Caenorhabditis elegans: one gene and its partners. The protein of the gene in region 2 purifies or fractionates together with the protein of the main gene of each other region. This does not show direct contact. Each region holds a gene or a part of one and is shown on either strand. Other genes may lie near its edges. The genes, in order: vha-14, dhgd-1 and suox-1.

Region 1 (3,755 bases), on a different chromosome or scaffold from region 2:
CGACGACATAATTCAATAACGGCTCTTTTTCTGAACAAATAAATAATTAGGAAACAACTTACCGCGGTGGAAATTCTTATTTACTGAAGATTTCATTTACAAACCTTTACTACGATAACATCACGAGTCTAAATGGAAAATGGAAGCAGGAAAATGTTAGGAATTTTTAAGTTTTAAAAGAAAATGGTTGGAGTACATATTCACAGAATCGATTGTTCTTGCATACGGGAAAATTAATGGAATGTTTGTCAATCTATACGAGAAGAAACCACATAGAAAACAGGAAGAACATCGGAGGGTGTTGGATGAGGGGAAGGAAGGGGGATCTGATTACAAATAATGATAAGAGACTAGTGGTCAAATGAGTTCCTACCGTAATCCGAAAAAATTAAAATTACAGCAGAAATCATTGTGAGGCAATCAGAAAATCAAATGGTTAATTGAAAAGGACTGGCAAGTTATCTTCTTCCGATGCAAGCAAATTTCGCGGTGGATTATTTTCAGAATGTGCTGCGTCCTCTCCTGGTCCTGGTCCTTCCAACTGAAATTTTATTTATCTTTTTTAGTTTTAAGTCGTCTCTTATGGGTACACTGTAGTGACAGCATTTTTCAATTCTTTCATGACGGTTCTATTTGGAAAAATGAAAAACCGTTGTAAAAACTTTTCGACTTTTTTCTGATAATATTATTCAATATCGTGTGAGGTGAGAAACCCAGAAATGAAAAGTCGATACTCACTGCTTTTTGAGCAGCTTCTTGTTCCTTCAGTTTCTTTTTGTTAGCCTGAATCTTCTTCATTCTGAAGAACTCCTCTCTTTCCATTTCGTCCAACTCAGTCACAATGTATGTCAGAGTGTTCTCGATACGTGGGATGATAACGTGCTCGATAGCATTGACACGCCTGTTGGTAACCTTGATGGCTTCATCCAAAGTGATGAAGCATGTTTGAAGAGTGGCGAGCTCGACGAGCAATTCGATGGCCTTGTTGTAGTTCTTCTTCAGGCGAGCAATGTTGGCTCCTCCCTTTCCGAGACCAGTAAGATCGTATGCATCTGGTCCGTCTTGGTAGGCGTCGAATACCGGAAGGAAAACTCCTGAAAACGGTTAAATTTCCGACAAAATCAAATTATTTGAACTCTTACAGCTCGCAATTCAGCAGCACGACTTTTAGTTTTTTCGCACTTTTAAGTTAATTCGTTCTAATTCTATCGTTTTTTGAGAAGTAAACTCGATAACGCCAAAAGAAACTCATAGTTTATTCTTAAAATGTGGAAAAAAGTGAAAATATAATCGCGCGAAAAAATAAAAATTCTCGAATGACTCACCGACAACGTTCTCTTTCTTCATGCGAACACGATATTGAGCTTGAGAAACGTTTTGAATGACAGTGTGAGAGAAATCTCCAGCAGTGAACTTGGCTTCAGCCAAAGAGAATGCAGCCTCTTTCATAACCTCTCCCATGAGGACTTTGTTCTGAAAACATTTGATTTTTAGCGTTTCACCTCAGAATTTTCAAACAAACCTCAACAATCTTTCTCAAAATGTCACGGAAACGAAGATTCAACGCATCGGCCTTCTTCTTCAGCAGAGAATGACCCTTTTGAGCACCCTTCAGACGGGTTTTCATCAGGGTTTGCGCCCTGAATAGTTATTTTTTAGATTTCCATCAAGTTTTTCTTCTATAAAACTCACATTCTAGACGGGAAAACCGCGATTCTGTCTTTTCCTCCCCCGGACATGGTTCGACCTGGAAAAAAAGTTTGTTATTTCTATGAAAAAAACATTAAAATATGGCAAAAATGAGCGAAATCGGTTGTTCGCAAGAAATACACAAAAGACCAATGACTGCCGATTGATCGACGGCATTTTCAATAGAGCGAGTTTGCAAGTCTTGTCATGAGGTGGAAATATAAGAGAGAAGAGAGAAGAAGGCATATCTTTGATGTTTCATTGGGAATTGTTGGAATAAAACTTTATCCCAATAGAAAATATCATTTTCAGTAAAAGGTTAAAGGGGTTGGATAATCAATTTAAAAATTAATCTTCGATTTTTTTAAAATTTCAGCTTCAAAACTTTTTGAAATCTAATTTTAAAATAAATGTACTATTCGCAATTTAAAAGCCGGTCCCTCCACTTCTTTTAGCATTAATGACTTGTTTGTTAATAAATATTACCTAGACACGAAATTTTTCGTAAAAAAATACGGTAGCCGGTCTCGACACGACAATTATTTTTCGTAAATTACAAACTGGTGTGCAAGAGTAATGCATTTTTAAACTTTCGCTGCTGTGGAATTTACATTCGGGTTTTTCAGTTTTTCTCACAATTTGTCAAAATTTGAGTGTTTTAGTTGTTTTATTTCAGTTTGTTGATAAATAAATATATTTTGTTAACGAAAACCATGAAAATTCGATAAAAAATTCCGCATAAAAGAAAGTAAGAAATTACAGTAATCCTTAAAAGCACACATCCGTTTGTATTCAACAAAACATAGTCGTGTCGAGACCGGGTACCGTAATTTTCAATGTCCCGAAATAAGCTGACAGATTGAATTTTAAGAAAAGTAGATTGGAGAATTAACCAAGAAGAAAGCATAGAAGAAAATAAACAAATATTGATAAATCATCGTCAAAATTTATTTCACAAAACTTTAGAAAATTATAATGACACAAGAATTAGGTGAGTGGGGGGGGGGGGGGGGGGAAGGGAGCAAAATAAAAATATAATAAATAATATACATGCTATAGGGCGAAGATTGTAAGATCTATTTACGCAACAATCGTGTGAGCAATCCTTTCTTCGATTTCTCACATGGTGGCTGCCAATCACGTCGACTTCTGGTGTTCTTTTCTTCACATTCCAATCGTTTGACCCGTTCAATAAATTCAACAGGAACAGCAAAAAGAGATTGAACGTTTGCGAGGAGGACAGCGGTAATCAGCATTCCTTGTTGCTTTCGGCATTTACTACAAACACCTGTCCAGAGTCCGATGATTGCCTGAAATCGAAAATTTAAAAATTGATATTACACAGACACGAAATATAGCGACAAAAGTACGGTACCGGTCTCGAGGCGAAAAATTTTTGTCGAATGAAACGAATGAAGATTTCTGCAGAATTTTCAGTGTTGAAATATAGGTGTTAATTTTTTAGTTCTATAGTTTTTTAATAGATAAATATATTTTTATCAAATAATTAATTAAAATCCATAAAAATTCGGCAGAAATGATAGTTTGAAATTACAGTGCTCCTTAAAGACTCATACATTTTCTTATCTTACAAAAATTTGTCGAGTCGAGACAGTAGTTTTCTTGCAAAATGATCCCCTCCTTACCGCTTCACGATTGTTGGAAGATCCATTAGAAGGATCAGCGAGGTCGAAGACTGCATTCGTTTCGATCGATTGAATGAATGTAACAAATTTGTGAAGTTTCCGACGTCTTGAAGTTGGAAGCGAAAGAAGTACCAATTGAATTGCTTCGATCAACCACTGCTCTCGGATTTCGTAGGATTTTTCGTCTGAAAATTATAATTTTTAAGTAAAAAATGTGAAACTCTAATAAATATAAATTTCTTTACCTTGTATTTTCAAATTCACTCTATTATCAAATGGTGATAACGCACGTCGTCGATACTTTGAAGCTCGAATTCCACATGCTGGAAGATCTCGGGAGAATCCATCGACCATCAATCCAGCCTCTTCAATACTGGACGCAGACGAAGATATCAACGCTTTCGACCATCGCCTTGCAGC
Region 2 (3,755 bases):
GAGAAGAATCGTAAGATTCATTGATAATTCTATATATTTTCCAATAATTTTATCCGAAGCTGGATGTGAAGTTTCTACAGTACCTCCGTGGCATAATACTACAATGGAAGCAAAAAGAGCGACAATTAGGATCGTCATTTTAGTGGAGAATGATGAATTGACCCGGCTCTTTGGGGGTTGGAGGATTCATTTTCCCCTTCAACAGGTGCTCAAATAATTAAAGAGAATAGAACCGACGATATATGGGTCAAATGTTTATACAGTTGTGCTACTAAACGTATTGTTACACGCGTTATTAATAATTAGAATTAGAATTATATCGTTTTGTACGGATTGAGAATCCCATTTGGGTCGAAAATGTTCTTGAGCTTCTTTGTCAAAAGTCGTTCTTCAGGATCTTTTCCGAATGTGGAGTACGGTAGCTTCAGTTGACCGATTCCATGTTCAGCTGAAATTGACCCGCCGTGATCGACAACCCATTCGTAGAGGAAGGGATAGAGCCTGGAATTTGAAATTATTAATAGAATTAAAATTTTATAAAAAAGAAAAATCTCGAAACTTACAATTTTTCAAGTTCTTCATTGTGTTTTTCAGATGTAATATTTAAATGAGTGTTTCCATCTCCCAAATGTCCATAAGTGACAATTCTTTTAGCCAAAGAACCACATCGTTCCTTCATCACATTCGTCAATTCATAATAATTTTCCAATGGTAAAGAAACATCATGCTTATAGACATATCCATCTCTGGTAACCGCCAATGGTGCACTTTCTCTCAATTGCCACATCTTCGTAGCTTCTGCAGAAGATCCAGCGAGCACTCCGTCGATAATCAGATTTTTTGAGAGGCATTCATCCAAAAATGCGCTCATTTTCTCCATATCGTGATCTTCATTGGATCCTGATGTTTCGACAAGGATCGAGAATGGGGTTGGAGCATTCAGTACTGGGTGCAATCCTAGATTCGTTTTCAAACATTCCATCGTAGCATCGTCGAGAAGTTCGAAGGAGGAAAGGATTTCAGTGAGGCTGGATTTTGCAAGCTTCAGTACTTCGCAGCATTTTTTGAAGGATTCGATGCCTGAAAAAAATTAGAAATTGAAAAATTTGAACCCATTATATAAATATTCAACCTACCAAGCATCGCACTTTGTACACTTTTCGGTTTAGGAACCGCAGTCATTGTGACGCTTGTGATAACACCCAACTGCCCTTCACTTCCCAAGAATAGGTGTGGAGTGTGCAAAGTTGTGTTGTCCTTCCGAATGCTTGATCCCAAATGTAGAACAGTTCCATGTTCATCGGGAAGAACCACCGTGAGCCCGAGAAGATGTGCGTGAAGACTTCCGTATCGAATCAACCGAATCCCTCCTGCACACGTGGCAATATTTCCTCCAATCTGACAGGATCCTTTGGCTCCGAGATCAAAAGGCATCATATATCCGAGTTTTGCAAGTTTGTTGTCCAAGTCTTCCAGAATAAAACCAGAATCACACTTGAGAATTCCCATTGTGTCGTCGAAAGAGAATTGCTTGTTGATTTTATTCATTGATATAACAACTTCATCATGTACTGGAATTGATCCACCAACGAGTCCTGTATTCCCTCCTTGTGGGACTACTGCCAATTTGTTCTTGGAGCAATACGCCAATATTGCAGAAACCTCTTCGGTGCTCTTCGGGTAGAGGACGACACTGCCAGGACCTGGAAATTAAAACATTTAATATTTAAAGTACCTATTTAATATTAAATAAACCTAATCTTAAAATACAAATACCTTTAAATTGGCCTGTCCAATCTGTAGTATGATTTGTAATATCGTCCTTCTTCACTGCATCTTGCCCGAGAAAATTCTCAAATGCCATTAAATCCGACTGCATCACTTTTGCAAATCCTTCATGTCTGGCGGCAAGAACTGCTGCGTAGCTTCTAGTTGGTCTTCTGATTCGTGGCAAGATTTTCAGAAACATCTGAATTCAGAAACTTTTCAAAAAATAACTTGAAACTTCAAAAGAAATAGTAGGAGACAAAGCTCGGCTAGGTGACCGATTTGCCGAAAACAATAAGAAAACAAACGGCTGGGCAGTGATAAGAAAAAGAGACAGAAGAGATACAAATGATCATAGTTCATTTTATGTACTGTTAACAGAAGTGTGTAATTAAAATCATTCGTAATCCTCCAAAACTCCGTCCATATGCTCGTTTTGTACTTTTTGATTGAACCGTCTCTTCGCGGCTTTTCTTTTCAGTGGAGCCTGCATTCGAACCTTCGGCGTCAGATCCTTCATCGCGTCGAGACCCTTCTTCTGGAGATATTCTTCGATTTTCTTCTCATCCAAATGATCCACAGACACGTGTCTCCACAAGGCTTTGAAATCGTCTTCGAGCTCTGGGAATGTGAATTCTTTGTCATTGTAGAAGACGACTCGATCCTTTTTCTTATTGACTTGTGTCGGAACAACGATCACTTCAGAGGATACTTGCTGGAAAAATTTAATTTAATATTTCACAAAATTGCTCCTTTTTTATACTTTGATTTTTTCAGTTTGACAAATTTAAAAATTCTGATTTTTAATCAAAATTAACCCTAAATACCCTAGTTTTTGAAAAGTTATAATGAGAATATTCTGCCTTCAAAAATGTTTTTCCTTTGAAAATTTTTTAAGGAAAAAGGTTTTATGCTGGAAAAGTGTAATAATTTTTTTTTACTTTATTAAATATATTTTTTCAAACCTTTTTTTTATCGATTTCAATGTTTTTTTGTGGAATATTTAACTTATGGGATCGAAAATGATCAAAATTATTCGTGTAAAAATTGAAAAATAACGTTAATTTGTTCAAAAGTCTGAAAATAAAGTAATTTCTGAATTTTATTTTATAAATTTTCAACACATTTTATCTTTTTTGTGAATTTATATATTTAATTTTCAATTTATTTCAATTTGAAAATCAAAAAAAAACACATTGTTGAATACTCAGAAATTCTAAAAGATCTAATTCATCACAAACTCAAATTTTAATTACTACGAAAAATAAGCCGCTGATAATTTTAAAATCAATTTTACTAATTTTTAGCTGAAATTTTTGAAAAATAAAAACTTTATTTTTGTTATAAATTATTCAAATTCCCACCTGCAGTAGTGCATCATAATTAGCCACACACTCAGCCAAATCCGACACAAGAATTCCACCTTTTCCGTCCTGATAATGTTTCCTCGCGACAGCTACCAACGAAGTTTTTCCTTTAATTTTGTAAGGTGGTCGAAATGCGAATTTTTCGGATTCCATTATCAGTCGAGGATTGTTTGGTAATGCTTCTTGAAGGAAAGCAAGACTTCTTTTTGAAAGATCAAAAATTTGAAGTTCATCGAGAATTTCTTGAAGTGTCAACGGCCATTGTTGATTGTTTAGGTGGCGTTTCTGCAATTAACTGTTTTTAACTCGAAAATTTCGCTTTAAAATATAAATACCTTCATATAATCCACAATTTTCGCCATTGTACTGAAATTTGTGGCATTTGATAACGCATTGGCGTTGCTCACGGAATTATTGAAATCTGGGACTGAAAATTCCGTTTTCAGAAACTAATATTACATTTTAACAACTAACGTTTCGACAAATTTTGAGCCGGTCCAGAGCTTTTCTTCTTTTTCGCTTTTGCTGCTTCTGAAGAGTATGTTGTGTGTGAATTTGGTGCTGTTGTCTTAAAAAATCGATAAATTCAATATTTTTTTAATTTTTAAAGTTCTCACAGGC
Region 3 (3,755 bases), on a different chromosome or scaffold from region 2:
TCTTGGATAGATGGAACTGTGTTCCACTTCAGCTCGTCACCAATGTTGACAGCTGGGGAGAATGCTCTGAAATTGGATGGTTTGTAGGTTCTGGAGATTTATTACTAACCTATAATCTTTTTGCTGCCAATGACTATCACTTTCCTTCTCACTAACAATAATTTTTCTGAGCCATTTCACTTGTCGAGCACCAACATTACCTGAATGACTTCTTTTATTAACGATTATCAGAAAAAATTTTTTAAATAAAAGTATGTTAAAACCGTTGTACCTGGCACAATGACCCGCAGAGGAGCTCCGTGATCCCTCGGAATATCAACTCCATTCATGTGATAAGCGACAATGACTTCATCTCCACGAGCCTTTTCAATGGGAATTGATGCTCCGTAGGGTGTTCCAGTCGGATCAACATCTGCTCCTTCAAAGTGGACGTGCTTGATCTTGTCGTCGAAAACGTCGATTCCTGCGTCAGCGAGAAGATCCTTGAATTTTATTAATTAATATCTCATATTTTAAAATTCAAATTTACTCTCAAGCGAACTCCAGTCCATTCGGCATTACTGATTGCAGTTCCTTCCCACATCAGTCCTTGAACTTTCTTATACTGATTCATATCGGCTCTTCTATTTCCAGCACATTGAATCACACTTCCAATTGTATATGACTTGTACTTCTTCTTGAGCTCCTCTACAGACAAATCCACTGTTTTTCCTTTGATGGTTTCCACAGTCAATCGATGGTTTTCAGTTTTGATCTAAAAAAAAATCCAGCGTAAAACTTCACTACACACACAACCCCTTTTCACATACATCAGGAACCGGAAGATGATTTCGTACAAAGAACAGTTCATTGGGTGTGTAGAAGTGGTCGGTAAGCAGGGAAGGAGGGGTTTCGGCATTGAAGGGCTTCGAGTTACGCACGAGTAAAGCTGGATGACGTTCCGGATCATTGGAGAATGCGTCAGCGACTGGCTGTAAAACAAACACAAACATAGGTGAGATAAGAGGATAAATTGATCAATATTTTGGGTGCGTTTGTACCCGGACCCTAATTAAAATCAACCAAACTCACATTACTTAAATCTTCAAAATCAATCTAAACAAAAAAATTTGTTACCAGAATTTCATAAATCACACAATAAAGGATTGTATGCCACCTCTTTTCTACTCCATGAACTTACTTTCGGAACATCTTTTACATCAAGTTTGCCAATTCGATATCCTTCGAGAATCTCGAGAACCTCTTTTGTCTTGTGCTGTGAGTAGAGAGCCCAAAATGGGTCGACAGCTGCACCGGCGGCAAGCAGAATTTTGTCACCTCCCGGATGCATGGCAATGAAATCTGTGACATCATAGACACCCTGTAAAAATAAGAAAACTATTAATTCCAGTTTATAAACAAGCATCAATTTGGAAATACGCATATATGTAGTTTGAAATGTTCTAAGCGTTCGAAAAAAGTCCTTAAAAACCTGTAACCAAGTCACAAAACTACATTTTGTCCAGTCAGCCAAAACTGGACAGTTGAATAATTGAAATTAGGGCTCCCATGTGGGTGCCGCTTTCACGCCGCAATTCAAATTTTCAAAGCGATGCGCGGAACCCACAAAATGTCGGACGCGGAGTTTGCACCAAACAGTGGCATAGAGTATGACACTATTTGTAGCAAAGTTGACTCCACGTCCGACGCTTTTTGGGTTCCGCGCATCGCTATAAAGGTTTCGGATTGTGGCGTGAGAGGGGTGTTTTCGGGGACGACATAAGAGTCCTAATTGAAAATAATCAACTTACATCTTTGTACGTAACCCAAATCCTGTCTGCGTCTTTTCCATGTTTCTTGACCTCCTCCTGCTTGTATATCTGAAGATTCTCCAATTTCTTCTCTGACATCGTCTCATCTTTGGCGTGATCAAGCTTTGCAGTTTTCACAAAGTGTTTGAATCCGAGCACTCCAGCAGTTGCGGCTCCTCCAATATATGCATACTTGTCTAAACATTAGTTAATAGATTTTCAAGTTTTCGTGGTAGATCCCTACAATAAGAGTGATTTTCATTAGTCCTCTGATGTTCTGAAGTGGCGCCCGAAAGTTTGTTGAACTGACGCCGGTGTCTAAAAAACCGATTGAAAGATGTGCCCCGGCCAAGCATTCTGAAAAAATTTGCAAAATCTTTGAAACTTATTAGTTTAAAATATCAAGATTGCCGAAAAACAAACAATACTTTGAAAAATAAAATATCTTTTTTAGAAATTGAATTTTGAAAAAAAATTGAAACAAAAAAAACTACGAAGTTCACAAACACATTGAAAAGTGGACTGAATCAGGGGGGAAAAAGAAAGCAAAACCCGACTAGTTTTATTAAACAATTATTCGAATATGAGGAATTTTTGGTGAATGAGGGTACAATAAAAACATGCTAATAAAACCGATTTCTATAAAACAATAACTGAATTATTTGGTATTTTTACAGTTCTAATCAATTGAAGTTTGAGGGAAGAACGAAAAATGGAATATCAGAAAAAAAAAACGTCACGTGGCAGAAACTGAGAAGAGGAACAGTGAGAGAGAGCAGAGGTCGTAGAGAAAACGAGAGAGAGAGACAGGTTTCGTCGCCTTTGCTGACCATTGACCAGCGGTCATTGATTGCAAGTTACGATGGGTGGTTGAACATTTGAGAAACAACAAGTTGTCGTTGTTCTCTACCTCTCTACCACTCTAATATTTAATAGTTAATGGTTGGGAAACAATCCAATTTCATTTTTCATCCAGAGAACTCTGAAATAATTTGGGCGAACGCAGCGTGAGCAACATCTGGTGAAGAGATGAAGCAGACTCGTTTGGCGTCTCCAACAATATTTGTGATGTTCTCTTGAAGCTGCTTGTTGATATTGACAAACAAGGCTCGAACGTTCTGGAAAAAATAAGTTTTCAAGAAATTTATCTGATGTGTTTAGCATTTTAGCATTATTTCAAATACAAGTTTAATTTAATAAGAGAAATGTTTACTAGCGTGTCTACGAGGTTATTCCAGCTCACGCGGCTCACGTGGAGTCAGGCTCTCCCATCACAATTTTATCTACTAAAAAGTGCGGGATTTTTTTTTGCCAAAAAATGTGACGTCATCATGTTCTAAACAATGTAAAATCAGAGTTGAGAACTCTGCGTCTTAAAACCCGCGTTTTTCGTAGATCTAAGTAGATCAAACCGAATTGGGACATTATGACACCACGTGCAAGCTATTAAGAAGCTATCAGTTCATGAAAATGCCTACTTCGCAAAAATAGCGATAGCACAGAGAACATGCGATGACCAGTGGTTTAGGTGCCTTCGCAACGAGATATTCCCGCGCCAAAACGGTAGGCATTCTCGCGATCTTATGATTTCTTAATATGTATGATGTTGTCCACTGTTGTTTTATTGATAGCGAAAAATATTCAAAAGTATGCTAATAGTGGTTCAATTGACATACTATCTCAATTCAAAATCTTACCTCTGGATTCTCGTCTGCTGCTTTTTTCAACATCGGAACATCACTCGCGGTGTCCCCTGCGACACAAACTTTTCCAACCTTCAACGAGTCGTGGAGTGATTCCACTAAAGCAGCAACTCCATCTCCCTTGTTCCAAACAGCTCCTGTAATTCGAAAATCATCATCATAAATTTCAAAATTGAGCATTACCTGACGAATGAACGCATACTTCAATTTCTAACGGTGAACAATTTTCTAATACTAAATATTGACTGTTGGGATCAACTCG

Evidence for each region.
Region 1: the proteins of dhgd-1 (region 2) and vha-14 fractionate together in Caenorhabditis elegans (co-fractionation; one large-scale study listed by BioGRID). This does not show direct contact.
Region 3: the proteins of dhgd-1 (region 2) and suox-1 fractionate together in Caenorhabditis elegans (co-fractionation; one large-scale study listed by BioGRID). This does not show direct contact.

The regions. Positions count from the first base shown.
Region 1 is NC_003281.10:9,506,092-9,509,846, reverse strand, and holds vha-14 (V-type proton ATPase subunit D), read right to left. Parts: upstream 1,748-3,755; 5' UTR 1,740-1,747; coding exon 1,693-1,739; intron 1,641-1,692; coding exon 1,523-1,640; intron 1,474-1,522; coding exon 1,326-1,473; intron 1,095-1,325; coding exon 739-1,094; intron 542-738; coding exon 437-541; 3' UTR 90-436; downstream 1-89. UniProt on the Caenorhabditis elegans protein: Subunit of the V1 complex of vacuolar(H+)-ATPase (V-ATPase), a multisubunit enzyme composed of a peripheral complex (V1) that hydrolyzes ATP and a membrane integral complex (V0) that translocates protons.
Region 2 is NC_003280.10:11,538,662-11,542,416, forward strand, and holds dhgd-1 (D-2-hydroxyglutarate dehydrogenase, mitochondrial), read right to left. Parts: upstream 1,970-3,755; coding exon 1,777-1,969; intron 1,704-1,776; coding exon 1,137-1,703; intron 1,081-1,136; coding exon 564-1,080; intron 502-563; coding exon 315-501; 3' UTR 243-314; downstream 1-242. Other genes in the region: Y62F5A.9 (uncharacterized protein), read right to left, coding at 1-138; gtf-2E2 (Transcription initiation factor IIE subunit beta), read right to left, coding at 2,165-2,482, 3,132-3,419, 3,470-3,561, 3,609-3,702, 3,752-3,755.
Region 3 is NC_003284.9:15,495,947-15,499,701, reverse strand, and holds the start of suox-1 (sulfite oxidase), read right to left. Parts: upstream 2,148-3,755; 5' UTR 2,147-2,147; coding exon 2,035-2,146; intron 1,988-2,034; coding exon 1,791-1,987; intron 1,361-1,790; coding exon 1,181-1,360; intron 1,096-1,180; coding exon of another isoform or gene 1,048-1,095; exon of another isoform or gene 972-1,047; coding exon 810-971; intron 755-809; coding exon 530-754; intron 483-529; coding exon 272-482; intron 201-271; coding exon 110-200; intron 67-109; coding exon 1-66. Other genes in the region: gob-1 (Trehalose-phosphatase), read right to left, coding at 2,759-2,908, 3,488-3,630, 3,677-3,755.